Linked DNA regions of Diceros bicornis minor. The protein of the gene in region 4 interacts with the protein of the main gene of each other region in a pairwise test. Links are inferred from orthologs where the notes say so. Each region holds a gene or a part of one and is shown on either strand. Other genes may lie near its edges. The genes, in order: ARIH2, RNF144B, RNF144A and UBE2L6.

Region 1 (7,371 bases), on a different chromosome or scaffold from region 4:
CCTGAACCACTTGTATTTTATTCTGATGCAATGAGGAGCTGAGGAGGATTTTTGGCCAGGCAATGACATAGTCAGATAAAATTTAGGTAAATTTTCTTGCTATGTGTAAGGCTGATAAAATGAGGAGGCAGGAAGACCATTTGTTTAGTGGATTATTGGTTACCCTATGAGGTTATTTAATAGAACCTAGTGGGCTTGAGTAGAGTCCACATTGACATCTGTCATGGAGGTGCCCAGATCTTCCTGAAACACCATCTCTTCCTGAAGCTGTTCTGAGTGCAGATTGACTCTAAATTAGCTCCTCTTCTGCAGCCAGAGCATTATAAGCCATAAATGAGAGAAACAAGGTCCCATTACCAAACCCTGAAACTTGGACCTTCTGTCCAATAAAACTGCTAAGGTCAATCCAGCAATGAATACAGAGTTCTGCAAATCGGAGGTACTCAGTAAACATGTGGCCTGGATACTAACACAGTCTTGCCCTCTCATGGTGGAAATTCCCCATAATCTGTGGGAAACAAAGATGATAATGTAGGAAGTCAGGAGGACACCTCAGGCCTCCTTGAGAGCTGACAACCCACTTTGTACCTGAGCTCTCTCCTAACAGCCCTTTCTTGTTCCAATGTCTGAGATTCTTCTCCTCAGCTGTACTAAAGCCCTTTGAACCCACTTTCTAACTCACTCAACAATCATCTTTTTAAGCACCTACTGTGTGTTAGGCGTTACGCAACCTTACTTTACATTTTGTGAGCTGTCTCCTCACCTAGCTTGAACACTCTTCCTTCTATCTTGGAGGTTTTTTTTTTTTTTAATAATTTTATTTATTTATTTATTTCCCCCCCCAAAGCCCCAGTAGATAGTTGTATGTCATAGCTGCACATCCTTCTAGTTGCTGTATGTGGGATGCGGCCTCAGCATGGCTGGAGAGGTGCGTCGGTGCACGCCCGGGATCTGAACCTGGGCCGCCAGCAGCGGAGCGTGCGCACTTAACCGCTAAGCCACGGGGCCGGCCCTATCTTGGAGGTTCTTAACAATGGATGCTTCTCAAACTCAGCCACAGAGCTTTAAACACTCTTGTGCCAGAACTCAATTTCAGAGATTCAGAATCAGAGCCCTGGAAATTTCAGGGCATTTAGAAGAAGCTTGTCAGATGATGCCACACACACCAGATACCACTCCCAGCACCTCAAGGACCTTGTCTTATCAGCTGCACTTTCTCCTTTCTAGATATTTCTTTCAGCCTCAGTCTCATCTTAAACACTGAAATCTAAACCCTTTAACCCATTGCTCCTTTCTTTTCCCTGCCAAGCTCCTTGAACCAGTAATTGACTCTCAGTGCCTCTGCCTTCTTGCTGCCTGTTCAGTATTCAATCCACCACTGTCAACACTATGGGAAAACTTCTTCTAAATGTCACCAATGACTAATAGTTAAACCTAATGAGGGGGCCAGCCTGGTGGCATATAGTTAAGCTTGTGTGCTCCACTTCGGCGGCTTGGGGTTCGCTGGTTCAGATCCTGGACGTGAACCTACACACCACTCATTAAGCCATGCTGTGGCAGCATCCCACATACAAAAAATAGAGGAAGACTGGCACAGATGTTAGCTCAGGGTGAATCTTCCTTGTACAAAAACAAAACAAAACAACCAAAAAAAACCTAAGGAGCATTTAAAATTCCCTAGCTTACCCAGCATTTGACTGTTTCATCCCTTGGACTCAAAGGCACTATTCTCTGTTTTCTTCTAAAACTCTAACAGCAACTTCTGCTTTGGGAGCTCTTCCTTCCATGCCAGCCCCTCTTCCCATAGTACAGTCTTCCAGGGGTCATATATACATCTTTATGCTGAAAACTTCCTGGCTTCTGTCCCTGGCTTTCACCTCTCTCCAGGTTCCCAAGTTGTATACCCGACACTGACCAGGTATGTCCCCCGATGTGCCATGGGCACTGCAATTGCAGTGTGTCTGAAACCCAGAGCTGCTGCAGGTTTTCTGGTAATGCCTCTGGGTTCTATCCCCTTTTCCATCCTTCTATGATCCCTGCTTCAGTTCATGCCTTCACCGCCTCTTGCCTGGACCACTGTAATTCTCTCTTAACTGGTCTCCCTGCTTCCAGTCTATCTCGACACAAAATCATTCATGCAAAATAGATTTCCTAAAACAAATCTGATCATGTCACCACTGTGCTTAAAATTCTTCCATGGTTCCCCATCACCTCCTAGAAAAAGCCTATAGCACAGAGTAGATAGGCTTTTGGGTCTTGTCCCAGCCTCCTTGCCCTCCACTCCCCTACAGGTTTTCTGGACCAGCCAGACCCAGTCACTTCCTGATCCCAGTCCTGATCCTGTTACTCATCTTTCCACCCCCAGCACACATGGTCCATATTCCCCTTTCCTAGCTTCCCTCTAGCCTGGGAGTGCCCACAGAGAAAGACTGTTATCAGGTCAGCTTGGCAGTGAGGTACCTGCTACAGCTTTTTAACCTGAAAAATTTCAAACATACAGAAATGATGAAAGAATAATATAGTGAATACTTGGATACTGTCCACCTAGAGTCAATAAGGTAAAAATATTAGCATCATCCTTAACTCCTCTCTCACATACCTTAAATTCTATTCATTAACAATTCCTTTAGATTCTTTCTTCAGAATATATCTAGAATCTGAACACTTCTCACCACCTCCTTTGCTATGCCCTGATTCCTGCCAGCATCTCTGACCATGACCTTTAGCCTTGTCAAGGCTCCCTGCTTCTTCCTTGCTCCCTACAGTCTATTCCTACCCAGCAGTCAGAGGGATCTTGGCAATTCATAAGTCAGACTATGTCACTCCCCTGCTCTAAATCCCAAAATGGCTCCTGTCTCCTTCAGAGGAGAAGCTGATGTCCCCACAATGGCACACAAAACCCAGTTTGATATGCCACCATTACCTCCATGTCTTCACCAGCTACTCCTCCTCCTCTCCTTCACTCTGTTCACAAAGGCCTCCCTGTGGTTCCTCAAACAGGCAGGGCACAGCACATCTCCGGGCTTTTGCGTTTTCTTTTCCTCTGCCTGGAAGGTCCCTCACCCTCCACCCCATATGGACAGGATATGGGGTGGAGGGTGAGGGACCTTCTATGGCAGTCTATAGACAGAACTCTCTCACCGTCTCAGGTCTTGAATCCCTTACTCACCTAATTAAAATTGCAAATTACTCGACCCCTCATACTCTCTAACCCTATTTCCGGGTTTATTTTTCTCCATAGCAGTTATCACCACTTGATACACTACACATTTTTCACTTATCTTTGTTATGGTCTTTGTCATTGTTAAGCTCCACAAGGACAAGGCCCCGTGTGCTGTGCTACTAGCTCTAGAAGGGCGCCTGGCACACAGCAGAGCGCAATCGACTTCTGCGGAGTGAGTGGAGCAATGGGAGCCCAGAGGAGGAAACACTCAAATCCAGGACGACTTCCTGGAAGAGCGAGGCCACCTGCCGGCCCTTCCAAACAACTCGCAGACAGTGTCACGGCCGGCCCCTCTCCCTCAAGCCACGCCCATGAGGGCGGGTCCTCCGCCGGAAGCAGCTGCCCATGGCGGAAGCCGGGCCAGGCAGTCTAGGCCCTCCTCCCGACCTGCCCTGGGCTCATGTCCCGCCCACATGAAAGTGGGTGAAAGGTCGGCGGCGCCGGCGCTGCGTCTGGGGCGGTAGAGCGGGGCGGCCTGGGAACCGACAGGCACGTTGACGGACGGACGAGCCATGGTAGACCCGGCGAAGCCCATCAGCCCGCTCAAGAACCTACTGGCCGGCGGCTTTGGCGGCATGTGCCTGGTGTTCGTAGGACACCCGCTGGACACAGTCAAGGTGCGAGGGGGCTGGGGCGTGGGCTGGAGGGAGGAGGCCCGGGCGAGGCGCGGAAAGCAGGGTCTGCGTCGAGACGTGGGCTCGGACAGAAGGGGGCCGGTCGGAGCTTCCCAGAAAAATCTAGCGAATCTCCCTTTCGCCCCTTTCGGGGGTCGGAGGAAGCTGTTCCTCGCGTCCCAAAGAGCCGGACCGCGCAAAGTGAGCGGCTTCTAACCGCTCAAAAGTTCTCTGTCCGGCAGCCTCTCCTGGCCTTGCACCACTTCTTTGGGGGTGGGAAAGAAAAAGTGCCTCCCCAAAGCTCTGATTTCAGCAAACCTTAACAGTATCAGCAAGATTGAAACAGGTCACCTGTAAAGCCCGCCTCAGGAAGAAAGCTCAAGACAGAGGCTGGATTATTCTAGAGATGTCTTTTGACACATTCCTCTGTTGCCAGAGTGCCTTGTCACCATCTCTTCGCTCCTTTCCCGCCCCAGAGGGGAGCTTGGCCATCTTTAGCCTGTCACCTCACATTACCCTGAGTGGCCTCCTGTGGGAAGCAATGATGTCCTCAGAGACTGAGCCCCTTCCAAGGAGAGCAAGTGACCAACTTTGCCCAGGGCCAGGCTGATCCTCACAACTCCCAGGTGAGGAAGCCATGGTCACACTGAGGCTCTAGAAAGGAGGAAACTCATTAGGGCTTGTTCCCTGGTCTTCCTCACATCAGGCCTCGACTCTTTCCACTGCAACACTTTCAGCACTGTCTTGTTGGAGACCAAAGTCCATGCCCTGTGACTTAGCATTCAAACCTTCATCCAAGTTTTCTAACCTTATTTCTGGACACACACTTGGAGGAAATTGACAGATCATGGCTAGGGTGGGCCTGTGGGGAATAGACATGAGTCTTATAGAGCGGGAAACCTGTGTAGAGGGCTTATTAGAATGTCAGATGGGGTTTCCTCCACAGGGAAATAGCTTTAGGGACACTTACTCTTGACAGGTTTGGGCAGCAAGCTCTTTGCTACCTTTAACCTAGGAGAAGAGCCAGGGTCATTCTATGCCAAGACCAGGATTAAAGCAACCGGACTGGTTGGGGCACTGTGAAACAAATCAGATGTTTATTCAGCTGATGGTAAATGTGTGTGTTAGTGCTTCTCAGACAGTGGTCATTCTAAGCAGCACTGTCTAGTAAGGGAGAAGAATTGTCTTGTCTCTCTTCTTGCTCTTGATCCATGTAGGCAGAGAGCTTGTTAGTTCCAAGCATCTGAGGCCTCTCTAAAGAAAAAACTTTTAAACCCTTGTTTGCTGCCTTATACAAATGTTGCTTCTAACTCTGTATCCTCTTGCCCTTCCTCCCTATGAGATGTCACTCCTAGGGAGGCCCAATGGCCTCTGTACTGAAGTGTAAATGACTGGAAATGCTCACTGGCATTTTCAACAGCCAGAAAGCCTCTTTTTAGCTTAAACCAAAACCACGAATTGCTGACTGCTGTCCTTTTGACCTCAGAGAGCCAGATGGACTCCAATCAAAGCCTGGACTAGAGGTGCTTTCGGAGATCCAAGGTGACTAGCTGTGGTCTGAGAAAGCAAGAGCTGTGGCACTTCTGAGTGGGAGCCTGGAAAGGCTCTATGGCAGGTGGCGAAGGGCTGGCTGAGTTCTGACTGGAGAAGTAGGGAGACCAGGAGTGGAGAGGGCAGGAGTGAAGGAAGATATAGGCTTGGTAGTGGGAGTCTCGGTGGGAGACCACACAAGATAAGACCAGCCATGGAGGACTTTAATGTTCTTGCTGGCCTGGATGGCTGATGTGATGATGAGACAAGTTTGAGATTTATACAAAATCACAAAAAAGATATCAGTCAGAAGTTTTGCTCCATTTCTCTCTCCCTACTAACTGAGGGAGGTTGTACCTGACCATTGAGGATCTGAAGGCCAGTATAAGGGATTTTGGATGTAAAGCGGTGGGAGGCTCTGGACATTTCTACTGTTGTGTCCTATAAACTCCTCAGACTTGCACGTTACCTCCATTGCCTAGAGAGTGATTCATTTCCTTAGCGTGGCATGTAAGGCCCTAACAAATACAAGAATGAGAGATTCTAAAGAAGTAAAGGAACAGCAGGGTGAAAATGGTGTTTTAGAGAGGTTAGTATGATAGCAACCTGAGAAAGATTTGGAAGCCGAACTCTGAGCAGGAAAAGCAGCCAGGAAAAAGACTGCAAAAGTAACTGAGTGTATCAGTTATCTATTGCAGTGTAACAACTTACTCCAAAACTTAGTTCTTAAAACAACAACATTCATTAACTCTCCCAGTCTTTGTGAGGCAGAATTTTGGGAGCAGCTTAGGTGGGTAGTCTGGCTCAGGGTTTCTTGTGAGGTTGCAGATGTTGGCTGGGATCCAGAATATGTAAAGAACTCTTACAACTCAATAATAAAGACAATAATCCAATTAAGAAATGAGCAAAGGACTTAAATAGACATTTCTGCAAAGAAGATATACAAATGGCCAATAAACACATGAAAAAATGTTCAACATCACTAATCATTAGGCAAATGGAAATAAAAACTACAATGAGATACCACCTCATACCCATTAGGATAGCTATTATCAATAAAACAGAAAATAACCAGTGTTCTCAAGGATGTGGAGACATTGGAACCCTTGTGCACTGTGGTTGGGACTGTAAAATTGTACAGCCACTGTGGAAAACAGTATGGTGGTTTCTCAAAAAATTAAAAATAGAATCACCATATGATCCAGCAGTTCCACTTCTGGGTAAATGACCAGAAGAATTGAAAGCAGGGTCTCGAAGAGATGCTTATACACCCATCTTCATAGCAGCATTATTCGCAGTAGCTAAAAATATGGAAGCAACCCAAGTGTCCACCAGTGGATGAATGGATAAGCAAAATGTGGTATATACATACAATGGAATATTATTCAGCCTTAAAAAGAAGGAAATTTTGACACTTGCTACAACATGTATGGATCTTGAAAACATTATGCTAAGTGAAATAAGTCACAAAAAGACAAATACTGTATGATCCCACTTATATGAGATACTTAGAGTAGTCAAAATCGTAGAGACGATAAGTAGAATGGTGGTTGCCAGAGGCTGGATGTAGGTGGGAATGGAGAGTTATTGTTTAATGGGTATACGGTTTCAGATTTACAAGATGAAAAGAATTATGAGGATGGTTGATGGTCATGGTTGCAAAACAATGTGAATATATTTAATATCACTGTACTCTTAAAAATGGTTAAGATGGTAAATTTTATGTGTATTTTAACACAATAAAAAAAATTGAGAAGGAAAAAAATAGGCAAAGGATCTGAATAGACATTTCTCCAAAGATGATATGCAAATGGCCAATAAGCACATGAAAAATGTTTGACATTATTATCCATCATGGACATGCAAATCAAAATCACAATGAGATACCACCTCACACCCAGTATGATGGCTACAATCAAAAAGACAGATAATAACAAATGTTGGCAAGAATGTGGAGAAATTAGAATCCTCATACACTGCTGGTGGGAATGTAAAATGGTGTAG
Region 2 (7,709 bases), on a different chromosome or scaffold from region 4:
TTTAGAATAATTCATGGGTTTTGTAAATGATCTACACTGCCTTTAATGTCACACTTTGAGTTTCACTGGAAATCTAGCTGAGATTTGCAACTTACTTTGCTGCCAATACTACATTATTGAACTCATATATAAATTAATTTCAAATGAGCAAAATTCTCATTACTACAAGAACTGGAAAGAATATAAAATTTAATGTCTACTCTCATAGTTTGGATTAAGGCTATGAGTGTTTCAGTATTCATCTGTAGAAAGAAATAATCAGAGTCTCAATGACTTCTAAAGTGCCTTCCAATTTTAATACTCTATGACTCTATTATTTCCACATAGTTGAATCACTGGGAAATTAACATAACACGAGGAAATAAGGCAATTTGTGATCCAGGCTTCACTAAGGCTACTCTCTTCATGGCTAAAGGGATTTCTTCGAATACTGAGCTAAAAATGTAACCGCATTCTGCAACCAATGCAAACATGTTCTAATTGATGGGAGGGAAAAAAATTCAATCCAGAGTGCCAGCAATTCCTCTGTGAGCTAGCATGGCAGGGAGAGTGTGGGGTCAGCGAAGCATCAAGTTACAAACCAAATTAAAGGTCTGGAAAAGAGTGGCAGGGTCTAATCATCCACTGACTGAGGCAGCCAGAATTGGATATACCACCCTTAGTGGGGGGACTACTTGACAAAGGCTAAGCACACAGACTAAGGGCTTCAAACATCTTTTATTAAAAAGGCCTTCATTCCAAGTAGATCTTTATAGATATATTTCCTTGAAGTTTTTAGTTCTGTCATATTAAAATTTCCATGAAAAAGTAATCAAAACCTAATGCTTACAGTGTTCTGCCACAAAGAAAAATATTGTGGGTTTTTGTTCCTATTAAAAACATGTGTTACATCTATATACATAATTATGTAAGTCCCAGACCCAGTGTACACATATAGACACAAAAACCTTAGGAAAATAATATAATTTGGCCTGAGCCAACAACATTCATAACATAATATTGTACTCTGTCCATAACTCTTCATTAAGGCAATGCTTTGAAAAGGTCAGCAAGAAATGAATATTTCTGCATATTTTGTGGCATAGGCTGCAAACACTAGATCTATAGGGATGAATTAAGGTCACTTTTAAAATTCAAACACAATATTTTCTGGACTTGGTTGGCTGAATCGTGTGCATCTGCACTATTTTTCCTAGGGGAAAGTTAATTTTAGAAAGGAGAAAAAGTTTGCCAGGAAAACAATCACATTGGCTCAATACCTAGACAGTGACTCTTTTCTTAAAAGTTCAAAATGCTTTACAGTCTCCTACTTGTCCTTAATATCCTTGAAAGCAGGTACCAAATATCATCCCTATTTCATAACAAGCATCTATCTCACTTCATAAAAAGTTGTATGAAATAATATTATATCTACTTTACAGTATTTTTAAAAATTAGTCCTTCATCTCAATTTTCCAAAAGACAGACAAATGAAAATCTTTATTTCCCCTGGTGGTTACACTCTGATAGTTTGTTAAGTACTTAGAATGGTTCAGGTACATAGACAGATATATATGAAAAGCAGCAGATGTACATCTAACACAAACTGTGAGATGGAGAAACATTTAGTATTTGTGTAAGTTCAAATACAATATAATTTACACACACTCTTAACCAATTCAGTGTAGAAGAGCTTGGTTCATATAATTAGGAATGTAAACAGGATCTAAGTTAATTTATATGATAATTCCTCCTTCTGGTTCCAAAGTCCATTAGGGTCTTTAGCCTTAAAGAAATCAACATTGTAAAAATGCCAGTGGTCACTAACACAAAGTCAGCCAATGCAAGCATAGGGAAGAAAGATTTTCTGATTCCCACGAGAATAGGCCTCAGTCCTTTCTAATCGCCAGAGTACTTGTGAAGTAAAAATGGACGTTTAAAAGCTAACTCTTTAACAAGGGCTCTTAGATGTACGATGTTTCTCTCCACCCTTTATCTGAGTTTCAAATGAGCGTTAACTCTCTCCCTTCCCAAAACTGCCATCTCAGAACCAATGATACCGCACCAAATTCATCAACTTGAAGGGAACCAGCTTTCACTCCGTTTTTATTCTCTATTGACACTACCATTTCCAGGTGATGCTTACCAACAGTTGGGTACCCTCTCTCCCTCCTATGCGGACCTTACAGATACTTTCAAGTGATTATGAGGGGAGAGTTCATCGCAATCACCTGGAGCGCTTTTCAAATACGCAGAAACACGCACACATCCCAGATTTCTGAATCAGGATCTCAACGCCTGAGTAGAAGCTATTGCTTTAGGCTACGATAAAAAGTTCTAGCACCGTAGTCACCCGAAAAACCTTGTAAACTTATCACAGTATTTAATTTTCAGGAAAAATAAACTCCAAAGAACCTCAAACCTATTGTTGGTGCAGATACAAAAAATAAGACGGTACACCCTACCTTGACCAAGGGTTAATATACAACGTCCCCCACCCACCGCTCCGAAAGTCAGGATAGTAACTGAAGGGAGGGGTATGTTTGAAAGAGTGGTATTTCAGCCTGGAAATCACTGCAGACTCTGGGGGGAAACGGTGCGTCGGTGTTTGCGCCACACACCTGGAGCGAGTGGAAGACCTCCTGCCTCTTCCCCACCCTCTCCCCCAGAGCCCGGGGCACGAGGAATAACGGAGGGGTGGGGGTGGAGGGGAGACCGGGGTCCCGCGGGCCGCAGAGGAGAAGCGAGGATGGCGGAGGTCGGAGTCCCTGCCGGCCGCCCGCCCGGGGCTCAGCCCGGCGCCGAGGGGAGCCGGCGAGGGGGCGAGGGAGGAAGAAGGAGCTGACAGCCTGGGGAGGCCGAACCGCCACCCGGGACGGCGGGCCTGGGCGGTGCTTAGGCAAGGGTGGCACCCCGCGCCCCTCCTTACCTTGCGCGCGGGGTCGCAGTAAGGAGCAGGGAGACCCGGCAGGGGCAGGGCACCGGCGAGGGCGTGCGCCCGCTCGGGGTCCGCCGTCAGCTTCGCCACGCAGCCGTTCAGGTATCAGAGGCATTCGGGTCTCCTAGCTACCAGCCCCTCCGCGCGTCTCGAGCCCCCTCCGGCCCTCGCCCCTGCTGCCTGCCTCCTCATCCCCCTCCGGCGGCCCTCCGCCGCGCTCCCCTTCTCCCCCTGCTGTTTATTCCGGAGAGCGGTGGCCCCTCTCCCAAGCCTTCCCTCCCCTAGCGCGTGCACGCACACACCTCCCCCAGGAACGCACTCTCTGGAGGAAGGAGGCAGCGATCGTGGTCCTTGAAATTCTGGGGCTGGGCGATTTCAGAAAAACCCTTTTAAAAGCTTTGATCTGCCCAATGAGCTTCAAGGTAGGCACTGCTCCCATTCATCCCCTGCCTCCGTCCTCATTTATCTTAACCATAACATCATTTAACACTTGATATTCATGTAGATTGTGTTCTGAGAATCGCCTGCCAGTCATTTTAATTTTTCCAAAACAACTCCTTCTATTTTATTGTTTTAAAAACCCAGACGTCCCCACTGTTTCAACTTAGCTTGCCAGGACGTTAGATCGGTCTCGGGAAGGATATGCTCACTGTACAAGACAGGGCAAGTCTCTTGCCAGCACTGTCGATACCTGCCACCTGTCAGGGCCCGGAGTCAGGGCAAGAGAAGTTAATTACACCTGGCTTTGGTTACTGAGCATGCCCGGAGCCTCCTTTCTCACTTCGGAGAGACGCAGCTCTGAAGCCAAAGTTCTGGGAAGGAGCAGGTGGATGTATTCAGAGAGACTTCTAATGGCGAACGAACTAGCAATGGGCAGACCATACTGAGTAATATAAAAGGTAAGAACGATGCGAAGGGATCCCTGAAAACATCACTGTATCACTAACATGCAGGAGCTGAGAGTCACCTAATCCCTACTGGGAATGTGGAAGATGACTTCTTAAATGGCACTCCATTTATTCATTCGTTTACCTATCAATATAATATACATTTATAGAGTAGGTTAGAAGCAGTGTAGCATTATTCATAATCAATCATGCTATAATTTATAGGATGCTAGGAATTAACTTGAGAAGCAACCAGTTTATTACAGAGCCCTGGTAAATGCAAATACCTGTTAAAGAGACTCCATATTAATCTATTATCTTTTCTAAATTTAGATAACTTTCTAATCTGAGGTCTGGGGAAAAAACGGATGCTTACTAGAATCGTCAGGTTTCCCTACTGGGCAGGAGGTGGGTATCGGAAGATAAACTCATCAAACAAGTTATTGCAACTGAAAGGACCAGCTTAGATGATATAGGAAGGCAGTAGGGGATGGTCAGTACAAAGACTCTGGCCTGCTTATTCATTCCACCGATAATTATTGAATGCTTGCTAGTTCGAGACTCTACTGGGTGCTAGGGATGGAAGAGTTAACAAGAAAGGCAACATCCCCACCCTCACCAAGCTGAAGAGGGGCATAGACAAGTAAACAGGCTGTTAAAAGTAGATGTTCTGATGGAGGATAGCACACACGGAGGGCAGTATATGTGAAGCCCAGAGGAAGTGACTTTTAAACTGAGACCTGAAGAGTGAGTGTAACTTGGCCAGGGAAAGGAGAGTAGGAGGAGAAAGAGTTTTCCTATAGTGGGGATAGCATGGAGAAAAGGCCAAAGGTAAGAAAGAACGTGGCAACTCAAAGAATTTAAAGAAACTCATTATGGCTGGGGGATTTTTTTCTTGGGGGTGGGAGTGGGAGTGGCTGGGAGGAAGAATGGAGAGACAACACTAGAGAGGTAAGCAGAGGCCAGATCATGTAGAGCCTTCTAGGCCATGTTTTCAAAATTGCACTTTATTCTGCAGAAAATGGGGACACTGAAATGTTATAGGCAAGGTAATGATGAGATCAGATTTTTGCTTGAGAAAGATTACTGGCTGCAGGCAGAGAACAAATGAGGCTGGGAGGTGGGGATGAGAGGGAATCAGGGAGAAGGGCTCTAGAAAGAGCACATGATCAGCGATACCAGCGTACAGATCCTCGTGCCTTCGTGGAATCTAAGTTCAGTCCTATGACAAGTCACCAGAGAGACAAAGTTTTCCTGAAGGGGGTATGGAGGGAGGAGAGTCAGTGGTGGTAAACAACTGAGAAACAATAGAGATAAATAGAAATTAGAGACAGAAAATGGTTTGTTTGGGGTTTTTCTTTATGAAATATTTTTTATACAGTAACTCTATCTCATATGGTTCAAGGATAAAAAGAATGTTAATTTGTAACTGAGTAGTGGAATAAATTAAAGGAAAATTTGATGCACAGGAGTCACTTTGATACATATTCCAAATTTTCTACTATGTAAGAGCAAACTAGTGTGCTCGTACCCCAGCTCCCCTCTCCTTTGGAGAGAGCTATTTTATTCCTATTATCTTTCATTCTGACCATCTAATTGTCTTATGACCTGCCTCAATTTGAACCCATCTGTCTGAAGTCAAAGTTCATGCCACTGCTACTAGGCCATGCTCTCTAGATTGAATACAATCACTAAGCTCTGTTCTTCCCTTATCCTAATTCACTTTCATCCCAATTCACATCTCCATTCTCTCAAGTCGAAATTCCCAGGGAGGGGACTACTGGCCTTACTTGGGTCAGATGCCCAGTCAAGGAGGACAGGGTGTCAGGGTCATGACCTAAAAACATGCCTACATAAGTTCTTCATGTAACTATATGGACAGTGGCTAGCATAGGATTGAGGATGAGGATGGAAGGGTACTTGAGGAGATTGGGAGGAGGCCAGCTCTTCAGAAAGAGGCAGACAACTTGATGTTTACTACAAAGGTAGACTGTAAATAAGTAATCAGAATATAATTTCATAAATACTATAATAAAGATATGAACAAAGTACTAAGGGAACACAGTGCAGGGGAGAGAGGAAGGAGTCGCAACTTCAGAGACCTGTGGAACGCTTCATGGAGAAGACAATGTTTTGAGTCTTAAAAGATTAATCTATGTTTGCCGAACACACTAGCTAGTCTGTAGGACCTGCAAGATTATTCCTGGTCTGGTGGACTAGTTTTTCCTTAAGGAAGGGAAAGGATAAGGCGTCAGGGAGAGACCAGTAAGGAGACTTCTATAACAGTTAAGGAGAGGGCTGATAAGGCCTGAAAGAAAAGGAGATGTGTATGAGACATTCAGAGGTTTTGAATCCAGAGGACTTGATGGGGGAGTTGCGAAGAAGGAGAGGCCAAAGATGAATTGAAACATTCAAGCTTGAGCAACAAGGTAGACAATAAAGCGATTAAATGAATCAGTAAAAAGAGAGATTTGCTAAAGAATGGGTTTAGCTTTTAAGATATTGAATTTCAGATATTGATGGGATATTAAGTGAAGAAATCTAATAGGCAATTGATAAGAGTATGACGCTCAAAGAGAAAGTTGCTAAATGTATTGATTTGGATTTTATTAATCTAGAGGTCATTGATACTATAGGTGTGGATGAGATCACTCAGGAAATCACGTGCAAAGAAAGAACCAAGGGCCTAGGCGGATCCCTGAAAAACACCAACATTTGAGAGGCCAACAGATGCAAGACAGCCAACAAAGGAGGAGAACCAAGAGAAAGCGATGTCATGCAAGTCAAAAGAAAAAGGTTTTGCAAGAAGGGGATGCTAAACAGTGTCAAACGCTGCATAGAAACTAAGTAATATTACAAGAGTATTCAAAAGAAGCCTTTCGATTGCCTATATGGAGATCATTGTTGGTCTTTATGAGAGCAGTTTTAGTGGATTGCTAGAAAAAGAAAGTACACTGCTTTAGATTAGAGTTTCTCAATCTCAGCACTTCTGATGTGTTCATCCAGATAATTCTTTGTTTGGGGGCTGTCCCGTGCATTATAGGATGTTTAAGCAGCATCCTAGGCTTCTATCCACTAGATGCCAGTAGCACCTCCCCCAAGTTGTGAAAACCAAAAATGTCTACAGACATTATCAAATGTCCCCTGTGAACATAATACCCCCTCCCCGACTTGAGAACCACTGCATTAAATTGAGATGTAAATGGGAGAGAGACAAAACAAATGTATTTTTCCAAAAAAAATTACTAGGAGACAGCATCACCTTTAAAAAATCTTTTTCTTATCCTAATTTGCAAACATCTGTTTACTCTAAATTTAACTTTTTAAATCCAAGCTGCCTATGGGACAGATACCCACCCAAACCTAGTTCCCTTAAATGAAGAATAAGCGCTAAAAAGAAATATTTTATTTATAAAAGTCTAGATTCAAAATAAGATTTATAGAAATATTTTAAGGTTAGACATATCTATTTTCTAAGATAACACTACAATCTTGTGACACTGTTGAGGATTTCCTGCCAACTTGCAGTGGAAAACACTTTTCTGCGTCTGATGTTATGATTCCACCAACAGCGATGGCATTAAATATAATCTAAGCACTGAATGTCAGTCCTATAAGAGGAAAAGCCCCCTTCAACAGAAATGATCTCCTTATTTTAACAGCGAATAAGAGAAATAATACCAAAGCTCTACGCTTCTCTATTTCTTTGATCTTATTCCATGGAACAGTTGAGAAGGATATATTAATGAAATGTGTTACAAATAGTACTTGCTAAAGTTGGAGCAAAATTAGATTCTAGGGCCAAAATTTGGTAACCACTTATCCTTTGTTATCCAACTTGTCTAAGTCTCACACCATTTCCCTCACCTTCTTCTACCACTTACTTTGAATAGTCTTCCCTGGCC
Region 3 (7,488 bases), on a different chromosome or scaffold from region 4:
CTATGATCACTGTGATGGGGACGGCAAGGTAGAGGTCTTGTAACCTTCTGTCTGCCTCAGCCCGGAGGTGGCCCTCCTGCCCACAGTCCATTGAAAAAAATGAGTCACATGCCCTCACCTAACTGCATGGGGCTGGGACATGGGGAGAAGCACATGGGTACTTAGTGAGCATTAACTGTCTGCCCACAATTAAGTCCACGTGATGTTGAATGTAATTTAATCATTCCATTCCAAAGCCTTTTAAAATTCCGTCCAGCCACAAGGGCCATATTCTATTGATTACTATAGAAAGGGAGTGTAATGAAACATGAAAAGAACTCTGAATTAGCTAAGAACCTCAAGTAATAGCACCATTTATGCCACTAGCTAGCAGTGATCTTGGAACTGTCAAGGGCCACTTTAAATCTCAGTGTTTCCATACTAGAAGTGAAAAGATCAGACTCAACTTTCTCTCTGGTCTAAAGGTCTATTCAGAATCTACAGCATTTGCCTCGGAGCTATATAGGAAAGCTAGATAGCAGAGAGTTGTGGACGACAAGATTCATTTAGTTCATTCCACAAGTATTTATTAAGTGTCTAGAACTTGTCCTTCCTGTGCTGGATATGCTGCTGAGCAGGACAGAAAATGTTTCCACTGTCTCGGAGGATGCCAGGAGAAATATTTTTACTTTTTTATTAACATAGTAACCTTCTCGTTTACTATCATTTATTTTACCACCATTGTATGGCATTTTAATTTTTATTATGACACTGGTTCACTAAATTGTAGTCACGCATGGGCACCTTCCAGATACTTGCATTAGTTTGCTAGGTCTGCAGAAACAAAATACCATGGACTCAGTGGTTCAAACAACAGAAATTCATTCTCCCATGGTTCTGGAGGCCAGAAGTCTGAGGTTAAGGGATTGGCAGAGTTGATTCCTTCTGAGGGCTGTGAGGGAAAATCTGTTCCAGGCCTTCGCTTAGCTTTTGGTGGTTAGCTGGCAATCTTTGGCATTCCTTGGTTTGTGGAAGCATCACTTGATCTCTGCCTTCATGTTCACATGGTGTCCGCTCTGTGTGTGAGTCTGTCCTCAAATTGACCTTGTATAAGGACACCAGTCATATTGGATTAGGGCCCACTTTACTCCAGGATGACTTCATCTGAACTCATTATATGTGCCATGACCCTATTTCCACATAAGGTCATATCATTAGGTGGTGGGGGTTAGAATTTCAACATATGAATTTGGGGGACACAATTCATCCATGGCGGCACTGTTGTCAAGTGACTGCAAGGATGAATTTCAATCTTCACTTCTCTTTCTTTCTTGAAGTTTTGTTTTTCTTCCTTAAGCTATTATTGTTTGTTATTTTGACCACACATTTTATTGCGATAGTAATGTAGGTTGGCTTTTTTGCATCTTTTCTCCTGGTGTTCTAGGAAAATAGCTCAAGTCTTGCATTTTTTCTAGCTCCAGTAGTGTTTGCAGAGCTGAAGGCAGAGCTGCCTGAAGACAACCTCTCTGCCTCCCATCTTACATGGATGCTCCACCCACAGAAGAGTTATTTGGGATGTCTAGGATGGAAAAGAAAGGCAGGAGGCCTTTGAGGGGATGGTGGCAGGCATGTGGACAAGGGAAGCTTTCCCAAGAAGTTCTGAGAGTGGCAGGGACTTGGCATTGCCCTGGGAGGTGGGGAATGTCTCAGGCCTCCTGGCCCACCTGGGGAGCTGTGCATCTGGACGAGAAGCTGTGTGCAGCCTGCTTGAAAGAGATGGCAGGGCTTGGAGGAGGCTGTCACTGAACCTAGGGATGGGCTGAGGATGATAGGTTATGTCCCACATCCCAGCACCATGAAATCCCCGAGATTCCTGTGTGTCCCAAGGGAGACAGTCAGAACAACGGTGACATTTAATTGCCTGCTACCCTCTAGAAATAATGACATTTAAATTAATTTTAAAAATTAAAGAACTGAGAATTTTCTGTGCTTATAGATTGTGTGATTACAAATTTGTACAAACTCCATTGTCAAAAAAGCTTTTATTTTGAGCCATGAGTGTGAATCTTGAGCTCCCCTCAATTTTATGTCTAGACTGGAAACTAGAGAATGGAATCCCATTTCTTCAGCCTCTGGACCATTTACAGAGACACTAATTTTCTGGTCTGTTTAGCATCTTGCCCATAGTAGGTAATCAAAAAGATGCTTGTTCAATGAGTGAAGGATGAGTCACAAGCACTTAGGAACAAAGGGTATCTTTTAAAATGGACTTGACATGTCAAACCTCTGAGTGAGATGGTTCAAAGTCATGACTCGTGCAGGGAGTTGGACTGAAAATCAAGCAGTGATGAGTGGAAATGACCTTGAGAGCCACAGGCAGCTTGTTGGAGAGAACTGGGACGGCTGCCCCGAGGCAGAGCTCAGAGTAGGTGATTTCACTCCATTTATTGAGCACTTAGGATGCTCAAGGCCCTTTGGGGAATGCATAGAAAAATGACTTCATCACTGTTCTACAGAATCTTAAGATCTAATAAGAGACAGTAAATACCCAAAGCATGAAGTGTGACAGATGCCATGACTAACAGACACAAACTAAATATTACACAAGTTCAGGGATCCGGGAGTAGGGAAAGTGGTGACATTGGGAAGACTTCATAGAGAAAAATCACCTTTGAGATGCATTGTGTGGACTGCTGCAAATTGGATTATCAATGATGATGTCCTCTTTCCCCATCTCCCCAACAATGATTGCTTTAACCAAGACAAACGAACATGGGAATAAGGTCACACACGTGTCTCTACCTAAGTAGTTACAAGCCTCGATTACACAGTTGGGTAAGAGATTGGTTTTGCCCCTCAACCCCGTCCCTGCCCACTCCAGATGCTCCTTCCCAGCTCCTCCAACTTGAATTCTATGCCATTTACCATAGAAATGTCTGCATCTCAGTGTGAACTGATTCACCACAGAGCACACGGGATCACCTCCACTCCCTGTGTATCTGCAGTCATCATCATTCATTTAACCATCCATTCATAAGCAGTATCACACCTGTACTTTCCTGGTACCACAGTCAGAGTATAGGAGGGATGTATTTTCCATGAAGCTCGGGCCTTTATGCAGAACCATTTTCATCTTCTAGTGAGAGGGTGGAGTAACCAAGTGTTAGGATTCTTCCCACTGGGCCCTCTTCTTGAATAATGCCATTTCTACAAAGAATTTGACAGAGACATCAGAAGGCAAGTGCTCATTCATATCTTTGAGGAGGGGAAATATTTACCAGAATAACTTCTCAGTGTAGATGAGACAGATTTATATTTTTAAAAAAGATGTGTATGTAGCAGGGGAAGACAAATTATGCAGAGTGTGTCAAGATAGTTAAGAATCTTGTAGTGTAATTGTCTCAGGGAAATGAGACAAATAATAGCTAAGGACCACGAAGTTCCTACAATTTGCCAGCTATGATGATAATGCTTTATACATAGTTGACTAGTTGACTTATTTAATCCCTCCCAGGATCTCTATGATACACATACTGTTACCACCTGCATTTTTCCAGATATGAAAATTGAAGCACAAAGAAGTTAAGTAACTCACTTAAGGTCTCAGGGCTTGTAGGTGATAGCATTAGAAGTCAGAGCCGACAGTGTGGAGGGTATGGTGTTAAGGAAGAAAGATATTATGGCAGGTTTTCCCGTAATTCTCGAGAAAAGAGTCTATGCATTGATGGAGGAATTCTTTCGTAGACACCGATAAGCTCTGTTCAGATACGCGTGCCTGCCAGAAGTCGAATTGAACACTTGCGGAACTTCTAGTAGAGGGAACGGCAAAGATAAATCTTATAGGAATTCTGCCTTCAAAGATCTGACTCTAAAAAGCTAGAACCCCTAAGAATAGGAAATGAATTGCTATGCCTGGATCTCGGGTATCCACAAAACTGAGGGACCCTCCACGTTGCCCCCTCTTTTCCATCCCTCAAAGCAACCAGGTATTGGCACGGAAAGACAGTTCACGTGACGCTGGTATAGAAAGGCCCTCAGCCTTCATCGCAACGTCCTCATACGACAAGGCACGGAGCTCAGGTTCTGGGAAGCCCAGTGGCGTGCTCCTGTTTGTCTGGTCCGTGGCAGAGCCGGGACCTGACCCCAGGCACTGGTGCCCAGCCCGATGCTCCTATCACCTGGCTAAGAGGGTTTGATTGGGTCACCTATTTCTTTCCTAGCTTACTGCTTTCCCCCCGCAGAGTGTGGGCATCAGGGGTCCGTCTTCCGGCGGCCGGACAAGGAACCTCGGGTTCGCCTCAGTGGCCGTCGGCTTCTCGCGGTCCTCGGGTGACCAGGCGCCTCCCCGGGCCTGCGCGGCGAGGGCGGGGCGCGGGCGGACGGCCGGGCGGCAGGGGGCGCTGCGCGCCGGGCGGGGGCGCTCGGCCGAGCCTGGGCCCCGCGTCTTTGTGCCGCTCGCCGCCGCCCACTCTCCCCCCGCGGGCTGTGCGCCCCGGCTGGAGGGCGGGCAGGGAATAAAGGGCGGCTCCGGGCTGGACGCGGGCGCGAGGCGGCGGGCGGCGGGCGGCGGGCACCCGGCCCCGGAGAGCGGACACCGCCACCGGACGGCGGACAGCGGGCACCGGACGCCCGACATCGCGCGGAGCGCGCGCAGCCCCGCCCGCGGCCGAGCAGGAGCGGCGGCCCCCGGGGCCCCGGCCGCGCGGGACCAGGTGGGTGACGCGCGTCCCCTTTGTGTCGGCATGACGGCCGCGGGGCGCGGCCGAGGGACGTGGCTGTGCGGAGCCGGCCTCGGGCTCGCCCCACGCCGGCCCAGCCGGGTCCCTGGCGCTCGGATCGGGGCGGGCCGAGGGTGGCTGGCAGGGTCCGCGGATGGGGACCCGCCGGCTTCGTGCCGAGGACTCCACCGTGGCCCTGCCGTGCCCCTCGGTGGCCACAGCGCCGCGGCCGCTTGGGAACCTCGGGTCCCTTGTGCAGCGCTGCGTCTCTGGGCGCCGGTCCGGCGGGCGAGGTGGCAGACAGGGGCCTCTTTTGGGTGGGGGGCCACCCGCAGGCCGGGGACGACGACGTCTCGGAAAGGGCGAACGGCCGGGGCGTGGGGAGGCGGCGGGCGGGTCAGTCTGGCCGGAGCGGGCCGGGTGCCGTGGGTCCTGCGCTTTGCACATCCAGGCGCCCAGATGACCGCGGCCGCTGTCTTCCTCCCTCGAAGCCTTCCTTTACTGAGGGGCGTGTGGGGGAGTTCCCTGCGGGTCTCCCCCATCCACCCTCCAGCAGAGGCTCCCCAGCTCCCCCGCACCGTCCTGGGCGCCCAGCACTCTTCACTTGTGGAAACCTGAAGGCTCAGGATCACGGAGGAAGGGGTTACTTGTACCGTAATGATCTACATAGGCAGGTCTCAGGATGGTCAGTCCTAAAGTTCTCTCTCTCTTTTTTCCAGTCAAAAAAAAAAAAAAAAGCCCATTCAACAAATATCCTGTACTTTCCTTGTGCTCCGTGGAAGGCAGGGTAAGGGAGAAAAGCGAGATAAGGCCCCAGGGGAGTATCCCGGAGTGGGTCCTGCTGCCCTGGTGGGAGGGGGATCTGGTCCCTGTACTAGAAAGAGACCCCACATCCTGCTTTGAACAGTTATGGGAAGGAAGCACTTTCCTGGGAGTGGAGCCTGGGGATCTAGTAAGGACAGGGTCCAGTGAATCTGGCCAGGGGCTGCCCTCAGGGGAGAGGTTAGCCTGCAGAGAAGATGCCTGTGGCGCTGTGGGAGTTCCCAGGACGGGGAGGCAGGAGGAAGAGGCAGGGCTGCTTTATGAGGAGGAGTATTGAGTCAAAGCTTGAAGCGGGGCAGGTCCAAGGTGGTAGGAAGAGCCAGTGGCCAGAGGGAACTGCCCAGCAGAGAAGGAGGGTGGGAACTCAAGGTCTGTGCTGGGGACTTTCCCATGGGCCTGGAGCCCAAAGGCTCCTGTGATTGTATTCCCTCCCCCAGTACTAATAATAGGGACCTGATCTCTTGCAGCTTTCTAGTGCCTTTTTAATTTTTGTTTTTATTATTTTTTAAAGAGTGCAAAGGGATTATGACTTGAGAGGTCAGATGGGGACAAATCATGAAATCTTTGAATTCCAGGCCAAGTTGGGTCTTGATCCTGTGGCAGTGGGAGCCATTGATGGTTTCAGAGGAGGAGAGTGAGTGAACTGAGCCCTGCTTTAGAGTGATTAAGGCAGTGTTGAGGGAAGGGGGAGTGTGAGCTTTGGAATCAGGCCCCCCCCCCACCTGCACTGCTTTTCAGTGGGTCAAGCATGGATTGAGGACCTCATGAAAAAATGGGATACAAATAAACTAATTTTACTGGCATGGAAAATTTCCATATTCAGCACAGTTGGAATCAGAAAGTTCATGTGTTTAAAGAGGCCCTGATTCTAACGTCAGTACCCTGGAAGGGGAATGAAGGGCAAACTGAAATGCTGGGGGCAGAGCTGCAGCTGGCGAATGAATGATGTGGGTGCCCACAGGCGACTCTGGTGCTTCTCTGTGGACTTACTGTGGTTTGGGACTTGGAAGGGACCACACACACTGTTCAGTTGAGGCTGCTGGTGTCCAGCGGGTGAACGTGCCACTCAGCCAGACAGCGGCAGGGCCAGACGCTAGGAGCCACGTCGTCTGTTTTTTCAACTGTGGTTCATAATTTGGCCCCGCCGCCTTCTTTTGTTCAAATTTCTCCTCCTCTTGGGATCCTTTCTCTCTGGTAGTAGAGACAGGGAGAGACTTGTCCTCCTAGATTGAGAATCACAGAGCTAGATGGTCATCACAGATTCCTAGCTCAGTCCCCTCATTGTGACCTTGAGGACACTGTAGACTCGGAGAGGAGAGGTCAGGGACCCCAGCCACACAGAGAGCTGTGGCCGGCCTGGGACTGTCTGCTGTTCTCCTCTCTGCACTTGAGCTGGGGAGGATGGAGACACGCCAGCTAGCTTGGGGGTTTGGTGGTCTGGAGCCACTCTGGATGGTATTGAGCCCTCAGACTCTTTGGGGAATCTGGCCAAGCAAGGACTCCCCCTGAATTCCTGGGGTGCGGGATATCAGAGACAGCCAAGAGGCGATGAATAGCATGGAATGTTTTATTCACTCTGGGTACCTTCCTACCTTGGAGATCCAAGAACCAAGTTGAAGGTGCCTTTCTTTAAGACTAGAAAAGTCAGTTGAGGTAATCATTTCCAAACCAGCCTCCTCTGTCTTTTGTTGCTGCACTACTGACACACGTGAATACCTTTTCTTAATTAGAGAAAAATTAAATTGAAGCAACTGTTCACATACCTGCTGGGAATTAGGGCTGAAGGACAGAGTTTGTACAACTCTCTGACCCAGCTGTGTGACCTTGGGCAAGGGTCTTCACCTCCTTGCATGCCCCCAGTTCCTTCAGCTGTAAGACTAAGGTGTTGGTTTAAGTGATTTCCAAGATCCTGAAATAAAAATGTGTTGATTTAAAGGTCTTTTCCAGGAGAATCAATATTTTAGAACTA
Region 4 (7,038 bases):
CATTATAAACAGGTGAGGTAACTTTAGTACCTACAAGGTGCCCCTCATGTACACAATCTCATTTTATGCTCACAATAAACAGACAGTAAGTCAAGCCTTGAGGCCTCTTATTTTTGGTATATCATCTTTTAATTTTTTAAAAACATTTTAATTGAGATATAGTTGACATACAACATTATATTAGTTTCAGGTGTACAACATAATTATTTGATATTTGTATATATTGCAAAATGCTCATCACCGTAAGTCTAGTTAACATCTGTCACCATATGTTGTTACAATTTTTTTTTCTTATAAGGAGAACATTTAAAATCTACTCTCTTAGCAACTTTCAAACATCCAATACAGTATTATTAACTATAGTCACCATGTGGTTCATTATACCCCCAGGACTCATTTATTTTTTAACTGGAAGTTTGTACTTTTTGACCCCCTTCACTCATTTCACCTACTCCTCATCCCCTGCCTCTGGCAACAACCAATCTGTTTTCTGTATCTATGAGTTCGTTATTTTTTTTGTTTTTTGGGTTTTTTTTTTTTTAGATTCCACATATAAGTAACTTAGAGGCCTCTCTCCTCCAATCTTTTGTTATACTTACAGATGAATATCTCTCCTACTTAATGGTAAAGACACAGAGTTGGCCTCAGCCCTTCCCGGGGCCCCCAGAGTGCTCAACACAGGGTCTTGCATAAGTAAGCGCTCAGTACATTTTTGGAATGGATGAATAAACACCAATGACTAGATCAGAGAGAATTAAAGAGCTCTATTGAGGAAGATAGTGTTGCCATTGCTCTAAGGGAGCAAACTCAGTAATCTCTCCCTCCAAGCCAGCACATTCGATCCTGGACGGGCACCTGCCATCATTTTAGTATTTATTATTATTATAACTATCACTTATTGTGCAAATAGCAATTCATTACTCCTCACATCCACTATTATTAGCCCCATTTTACAGATGACAAAACAGAAGCACAGACAAGTTAAGTAATTTGCCCAAGTTTATTCAGCCAATAATAGTGGAACTGGGATTTAATCCTGAGTATTTATTTCTTGGATTTATAGATTTCAAAGTTCCTCCACTTCTGTGAGCTTAGCCTCACAGGGGTCCTGGGAAGCAGGTAGAAGCTTCTACGTCCCACCCAAGGCCATGCTGCACTGGGGGGCAGATGTGGAACTAGAATCCGGGTCTCCTTCTGACACACAAAGGTCTGCATTGTGGAAGGACATGGAGACCGCGCATGCAGGCCTCCCAGCTGTGTGAGAGTTTAGGATCCATCCCAGGATGGGGAAGCTGGGCTAAATCCAGGACTCTGGATTCACTTCAGGGATGCAGAGTTTCCGAAGGGAAAGGAAGGAGAACCACAGAGCAGTGGACAGGCTTTGCTCCACACTGTAGAACCACTTTCAGTTTCTGTATACACTGCCACCTCACTTTTGCTCATGCTGTTCCCTCTTCTTGGAACACCCTCACCCCATATTCTTTTTTTTTTCTTTTTCTTTTTGTGAGGAAGATTAGCCCTGAGCTAACATCCATTGCCAATCTTCCTCTTTTTTTTTTTTTTCATGTTTTAATAGTTTTTAACATTGTGAAATTTTGGGTTGTACATTTTTGTTTGTCCTTCACCATATACATGTCTCCCTTCACCCCTTGTGCCCACCCCCCACCCCCATTGCACCTGGTAACCACAATACAGTTTTCTCTGTCCATGTGTTGGTTTATATTCCACACATGAGTGAGATCATACAGTGTTTGTCTTTCTCTTTCTGGCTTCCTTCACTTAACATAATACCCTCCAGGCCCGTCCACGTTGTTGCAAATGAGACGATTTTGTCTTTTTTTATGGCTGAGTAGTATTCCGTTGTATATATATACCACATCTTCTTGATCCAATCGTCAGTTGAGGGACACTTAGGTTGCTTCCACTTCTTGGCTATAGTGAAGAATGCTGCAATGAACATAGGGGTGCATAAGCCTCTTTGGATTATTGATTTCAGCTTCGTTGGATAGATACCCAGTAGTGGGATAGCTGGATCATAGGGCATCTCTATTTTTAATTCTTTGAGGAATTTCCATACCGTTTTCCATAGAGGCTGCACCAGTTTGCACTCCTACCAGCTGTGTATGAGGGTTCCTGTTTCTCCACATCCTCTCCAACATTTGTTGTTTTTTGTCTTGGTGATTATAGCCATTCTAATGGACATGAGGTGATATCTTAGTGTTGTTTTGATTTGCATTTCCCTGCTGATTAATGATGTTGAACACCAATCTTCCTCTTTTTGCTTGAGGGAGATTCAACCTGAGCTAACATCTGTGCCAGTCTTCTTCTATTTTATATATAGGTCACCGCCACAGCACAGCTGACGAGTGGTGTAGGTCCACACCCAGGATCTGAACTTGTGAACCCGGGCCACCGAAGTAGAGTGCACCAAACTTAACCACTAGGCCACGGGGTTGCTCCCCTTATCATGCTTTGCAACTCACTTAGATTTTTATCTCTTCCAGGAAACCTCTGTCCCTCTCTGAGGCAGGATCAAGTTGACCCTCCTCAGGCTCCCAGAGCACCAAATGATTCCTGATAGGCTTGTGCTTACTGCTTTGCATTAAAAACGCAAGGGCTGCATTCTTTCCCTCTGTCCCACCAGTAGGAGAGCTCATCAAGGGCAGGGACCCCACTTTCTCATCGCAGTGTTCCCTAAAGTCAGTGTCTGGCACTCAGTAGTAGATGCTGGTTAACTGAGATGGTTCAGATGCCTCATTCCCTCATCTCTACCTATGTTATGGGATTGGGGACAGTGGCTTATTCATTTCTGGCATGTAGAAGATGCCCGGATAAAGTTTATAGGATTGAATTAAACAGAATTAATCATTCTGCAAATACATCCCACATCTGAGCTGAGAAGTCATTTGGCTCCAAGACACTTAGATAAAAACTACATGAAGTAGTGAGTTCAGAACTCAAAACGTGCTCAAAATACGCTGGTTTCTCTTCTCATTTGGACTGAAAGGAGTAGGGTGAGGAAGATGGCTTCAATCCTCCCAAGGAGACTCATTTTTACTAGCAGATTCTTCCCCAGACGCTGCTCCGTGTTCAGGAGCTGCAATTCCACGGTGGCCTCAGCTTTGGGCTGGCGGAAGGGGTCTCTGTCCCTGGAGAGAGGGGTGGAAATTCCTGCCTATGTGTGCGGGGCACACAGTAGACCTGCAGTTTGTAATGGCCCAGTGGTAAAATAAGGGAAGCTCCCCCACTCAACTGTTTCCCAAATCGTCATATAGTAGGCACTTACTAAATGCTAAGCTTAACCAGGGACTAAATGAAGGGTCGACCGAATCCTCAAAGCAAGAGAGACTGGGCCCAACAGCGCCCCCTTGCGGGGCTCTGCACCAAGCAGCCACCTGGGAGAAAGGTCCTTGCAGTCTCACCACCGAATGCTGGACAGCACAAAGGATCCCAAGCTGCCAGGGGAGGGGTCCTTGGAGGGGAGATAGTCTACCGTGGCCCCCATCCATTTTTAGAGATGGAGCACTGGGCCCAGAGAGGGAAAGTGATTTGTCCAGGGGGCTCCAGGAATTCGTTGAGGGGGCTTAGGGCGGCGGTCTGATGGAGCTGTATTTGCATACCAAGAGTTTTTTATTTATTTAGGGAGAGTGTATATTTGGGGCGCTGTGGGAAAGCTGATGGAGATGGGGGGGCCTCCGGCGGCGGAGCTGGAACTAGAACCCGGATGGGCGGACCCCGGCCCCGCGCCGCGAGCGCTTGCTGCCTGGTGCGCGGCGCCCCCCAGCGGGACGCAGGGATCTGGCACCGCCGCGCGCTCCCGGGCCCGCGGCGGCTCCCGACAAAGAGCGCAAGTTCCGGGGATCGGAGCCCACCGCGCCGGGGCCCAGGCCGGGGCGCAGGCGGATCCTCCCCTCGGCGGCCCCTAGTCCCAGCAGAGGCGGTGGGGGGCAGGACTGTCCGGCTCCCGCGTACGCGCTGGGGGAGCGGGGCGTGGGCGGGGCTCTCGGGGGCGGGGTCCCCCGGGCGGGGCGCGCCGAGTCCGCCGGTCGGGGCACAGTCTGGCTCAAGTCCGCGAAGCCCCACATTCGGTCCCGAGATGTCAGCGAGCAAGCGGGTGGCGAAGGTAACTGCATGTAGGATGCCCCCTTTCTCTTGGCTCCCCTCGCTCTCCCATTCCCTCCTCCCTCCATCCCTCCCCCGGCTCTCCGCTCTCTGAGCGCGTTTATCTGGTACCAGGGCTGGCTGAATCTCTGTCATCCCCGCCCCCTCCCCAGAGGAGTGGGTCTGCGAGAGGCGCCGGAGCTGGAGTTTTGAGGGGTGAGGACACATCAGGCGAGGGTGTCGCTGGCGCCCTGAGCTGTGCTGGGAATGGGGATGAGCCAGCTCCCCCCAAACTGGTTTCAGTTTCATTTCTCCTGCCAGAAACTTGTGGTAACAATTGCGTGCGTCTCAGGTGCGGGAAGGGTTCCTTGGCGTCTTCTTGGAGCCAGGCGCTCTGCTGGGGGTAGTGGTGGGTGGGTTGTGAACTGAAATAACCAGGAAAAGGTCCTTGCCCTGGAGTAGCGCACGCCCCGCCCCATGATTTGGTACCCACATCAGCGTCCCGAGAAGTATGGGATACTGAGTAGGAGTCGGGAGCAAGATTCCCTGGGTATTCTCGGTAGGAAGAGATGCCAAGGCGGTCCTGGAGCTGTCCTGGAGTAGGTGGCATGCATTCATTCGTTCTGCAAATGTTGTCGAATGCCTACTGTGTGCTGGCTCCTGTTCTAGGATTTAGGGAGGCAGAGACGAACAAAAATCCTGCCCTCGGTGAGTTCATTCCAATCAGGGACACAATTTGAAATGAGGTCTGGAAGGATGGGGAGGGGGCGATTTCCCCCAAGAGCGGGGAAAACCCAGGGTGTTTGGAGGGCTGCGGTGCAGCCAGGAGATGAAGATAGACCGGGAAGGGAGGACAATCCTGGTGAAGTGGGTCTGACACCTCCCAGGCTTTGAGTCTCTCAGCAGTGCCCCTTCAATGTACGGAGTTGGGGGCAGGCCTGAAGGGGGTGAAGGAGGGCCTGCTACGCTCAGCCTCTGAGAAGAACATGATCTCGGATTGGGGCACCCAGAGCAGGCTCAGCTCAGAAGAACTGAAATCTGAAGGTTGGCAGCAAAATGGGGCAGAGAGTCTTTCCAGCCAAGTGGGAAGGAGCTGGGAGCCAGTATTTGTTGCATTGGCACCATTAAGTGCCAGGCAATTTACATTAGTTATTTCATCGAATTCTCTCAGCAACTCTGTGAGATAAGTCATGTATGCCCATTTTACAGATGAGGAAGTGGAGGCTCAGAGAGAATAACTTGCTTGTCCAGGGTCACCCAGTTGGGAGTGATGGGGCTGGGATTTGAGCCCAGGTGGATGGGGCTCCCATCTGCAGTTTCTTTCAGTGAGCTCTGTACTTTCGTTTTCTGTTCTCTTGAGTCAGATGATTTCCTAACAGGCCACAGGAAAGAGCCGTGTCCCCTAGCTCGGGTTTCAACATCATCAGGCTTGGGGAAAGTTTTGGCAGAACTCATCCATAACAGATAAAGTCCAAGTGTTCCTAGTTATAGTGAAGTCGGGAAAATGTGCATTCCAGAGCCTCTCTGTTCAACCTGGGGCTTCCTTCTTGCCAAAGAGTCACAGATGATGCTAGAACTATGACTTATGGTAGCAGATACTTCTAGTGTGGGGTAAAAGGTAAATGAGAGGTCAGACACTCTGGGCAGAAGGTGCAAGAAGCAGTTTGTTGTATGAACAGAGATGGAGTATGGGCTGAGGGATAGGAAATGGGGGACAGGCATGTGTTTCTATGTTGGGGGGCAGATAAAGGTCAGACAGGACACAGTGTTAAAGGACTCCTCTCCAGCTGTGGGCTGGAGCTCTCTCTCTGCCTTTGTTTGCACTAGGGTTTCTCAACCTTGTCACTATTGACGTTTTGGGCCAGATAATTTTTTGTAGGATGTTTGTCAGCCTCTCTGGCCTCTACCTACCAGAGACTAGTAGCACTTCCCCCATTTGTTACAACCCAAAATGGTTCTAGATATTGCCAAATGCCCTGAGAGTGGGGGTAAAATAACCCCTGATTGAGAACCACTGGTTTACACTCATCTGGTGTTCCAGAGGAATATGACCTGCCCTTGAGTGTCTTTTTATCTGTTATTGGTCTTTTCCAAAAAAAATGGTCTGTTGCCCCACAGGATGGACCCCAAAAGGGGGAGAGGGGTTCCTTGGTCAAATACATTTGAGAAGTACTGCATGCTGTGGGCTCACATCTTGGAGGTTCATGATACACAACAGTATACTAAAGGCTTTGTGAAGTCCTGCAGTAAAGAAATCCGTTTAGCTTAGTGTTTCCCGATGTACTTGACTGTGGAACCCTTTTTCTGTAATAATTATTAATCTTGCATGGGACACACTGTACACATTTGCTCTAACTGGGCCTATGCCTTGGTACCTCTTCCCTTCTCTGCACCATGGGCTCCTATTTATTCTGCATGGCTCAGCTCACAGTGTCACCCTCTGCAAAGCCTTCCTGCTCCCCTCTCCTCTCCTTCCCTGTTATGTATCCCCACATTATTCACATAATCACATTCATGTTGCTTCCATTACTCCAATGAAGTTCTGGAGAGTTGGGCCCTGTCTTAGTCAAGTGTCAACAGAGGATACTCAGGAAAGGGCTGTCGGGAGAATTCAGTGATGTCCAGGTGACTGGGCCACATTTCTGGGAAGGCGAGTCACTCCTTGTCCCCTTGTTTCTCTGCGGAGTTCTCCTCTGCCATGGGCTGCCTGAGTCATTTCCCTGCCCCAGCCCTGGTCTGGAGGAGATTGACAGGGATGGGGTGATGTCTTTGCTGCCCACACTGCTTTGAGCACTGTAAGGACATGTCATGCTGGATACTCAGCGGAGGCTACGGAAGGAAGGGAGAGAGGGAATTAGGAACTTGTGACTCCTCGGGTGAGGACAAGAGGATGGAGGTTAAGTACCTCAGTTTCAGGAGAAAAGGCTCCTAAGAGAA

The links.
Region 1: the proteins of UBE2L6 (region 4) and ARIH2 interact in binary tests that used the Homo sapiens proteins (3 or more experiments, as listed by UniProt). The link is inferred for Diceros bicornis minor from reciprocal best matches to the Homo sapiens genes UBE2L6 and ARIH2.
Region 2: the proteins of UBE2L6 (region 4) and RNF144B interact in binary tests that used the Homo sapiens proteins (3 or more experiments, as listed by UniProt). The link is inferred for Diceros bicornis minor from reciprocal best matches to the Homo sapiens genes UBE2L6 and RNF144B.
Region 3: the proteins of UBE2L6 (region 4) and RNF144A interact in a two-hybrid assay, tested with the Homo sapiens proteins (2 studies listed by BioGRID and IntAct). The link is inferred for Diceros bicornis minor from reciprocal best matches to the Homo sapiens genes UBE2L6 and RNF144A.

The regions. Positions count from the first base shown.
Region 1 is NC_080741.1:50,191,493-50,198,863, reverse strand, and holds the start of ARIH2 (E3 ubiquitin-protein ligase ARIH2), read right to left. Parts: upstream 3,013-7,371; 5' UTR 2,924-3,012; intron 1-2,923. Other genes in the region: SLC25A20 (mitochondrial carnitine/acylcarnitine carrier protein), read left to right, coding at 3,736-3,840.
Region 2 is NC_080753.1:49,217,191-49,224,899, forward strand, and holds the start of RNF144B (E3 ubiquitin-protein ligase RNF144B), read right to left. Parts: upstream 3,014-7,709; 5' UTR 2,909-3,013; intron 1-2,908.
Region 3 is NC_080751.1:72,669,543-72,677,030, reverse strand, and holds the start of RNF144A (E3 ubiquitin-protein ligase RNF144A), read left to right. Parts: upstream 1-4,478; 5' UTR 4,479-4,691; intron 4,692-7,488. UniProt on the Homo sapiens protein: E3 ubiquitin-protein ligase which accepts ubiquitin from E2 ubiquitin-conjugating enzymes UBE2L3 and UBE2L6 in the form of a thioester and then directly transfers the ubiquitin to targeted substrates.
Region 4 is NC_080770.1:16,365,504-16,372,541, forward strand, and holds the start of UBE2L6 (ubiquitin/ISG15-conjugating enzyme E2 L6), read left to right. Parts: upstream 1-4,027; 5' UTR 4,028-4,096; coding exon 4,097-4,123; intron 4,124-7,038. UniProt on the Homo sapiens protein: Catalyzes the covalent attachment of ubiquitin or ISG15 to other proteins. Functions in the E6/E6-AP-induced ubiquitination of p53/TP53. Promotes ubiquitination and subsequent proteasomal degradation of FLT3.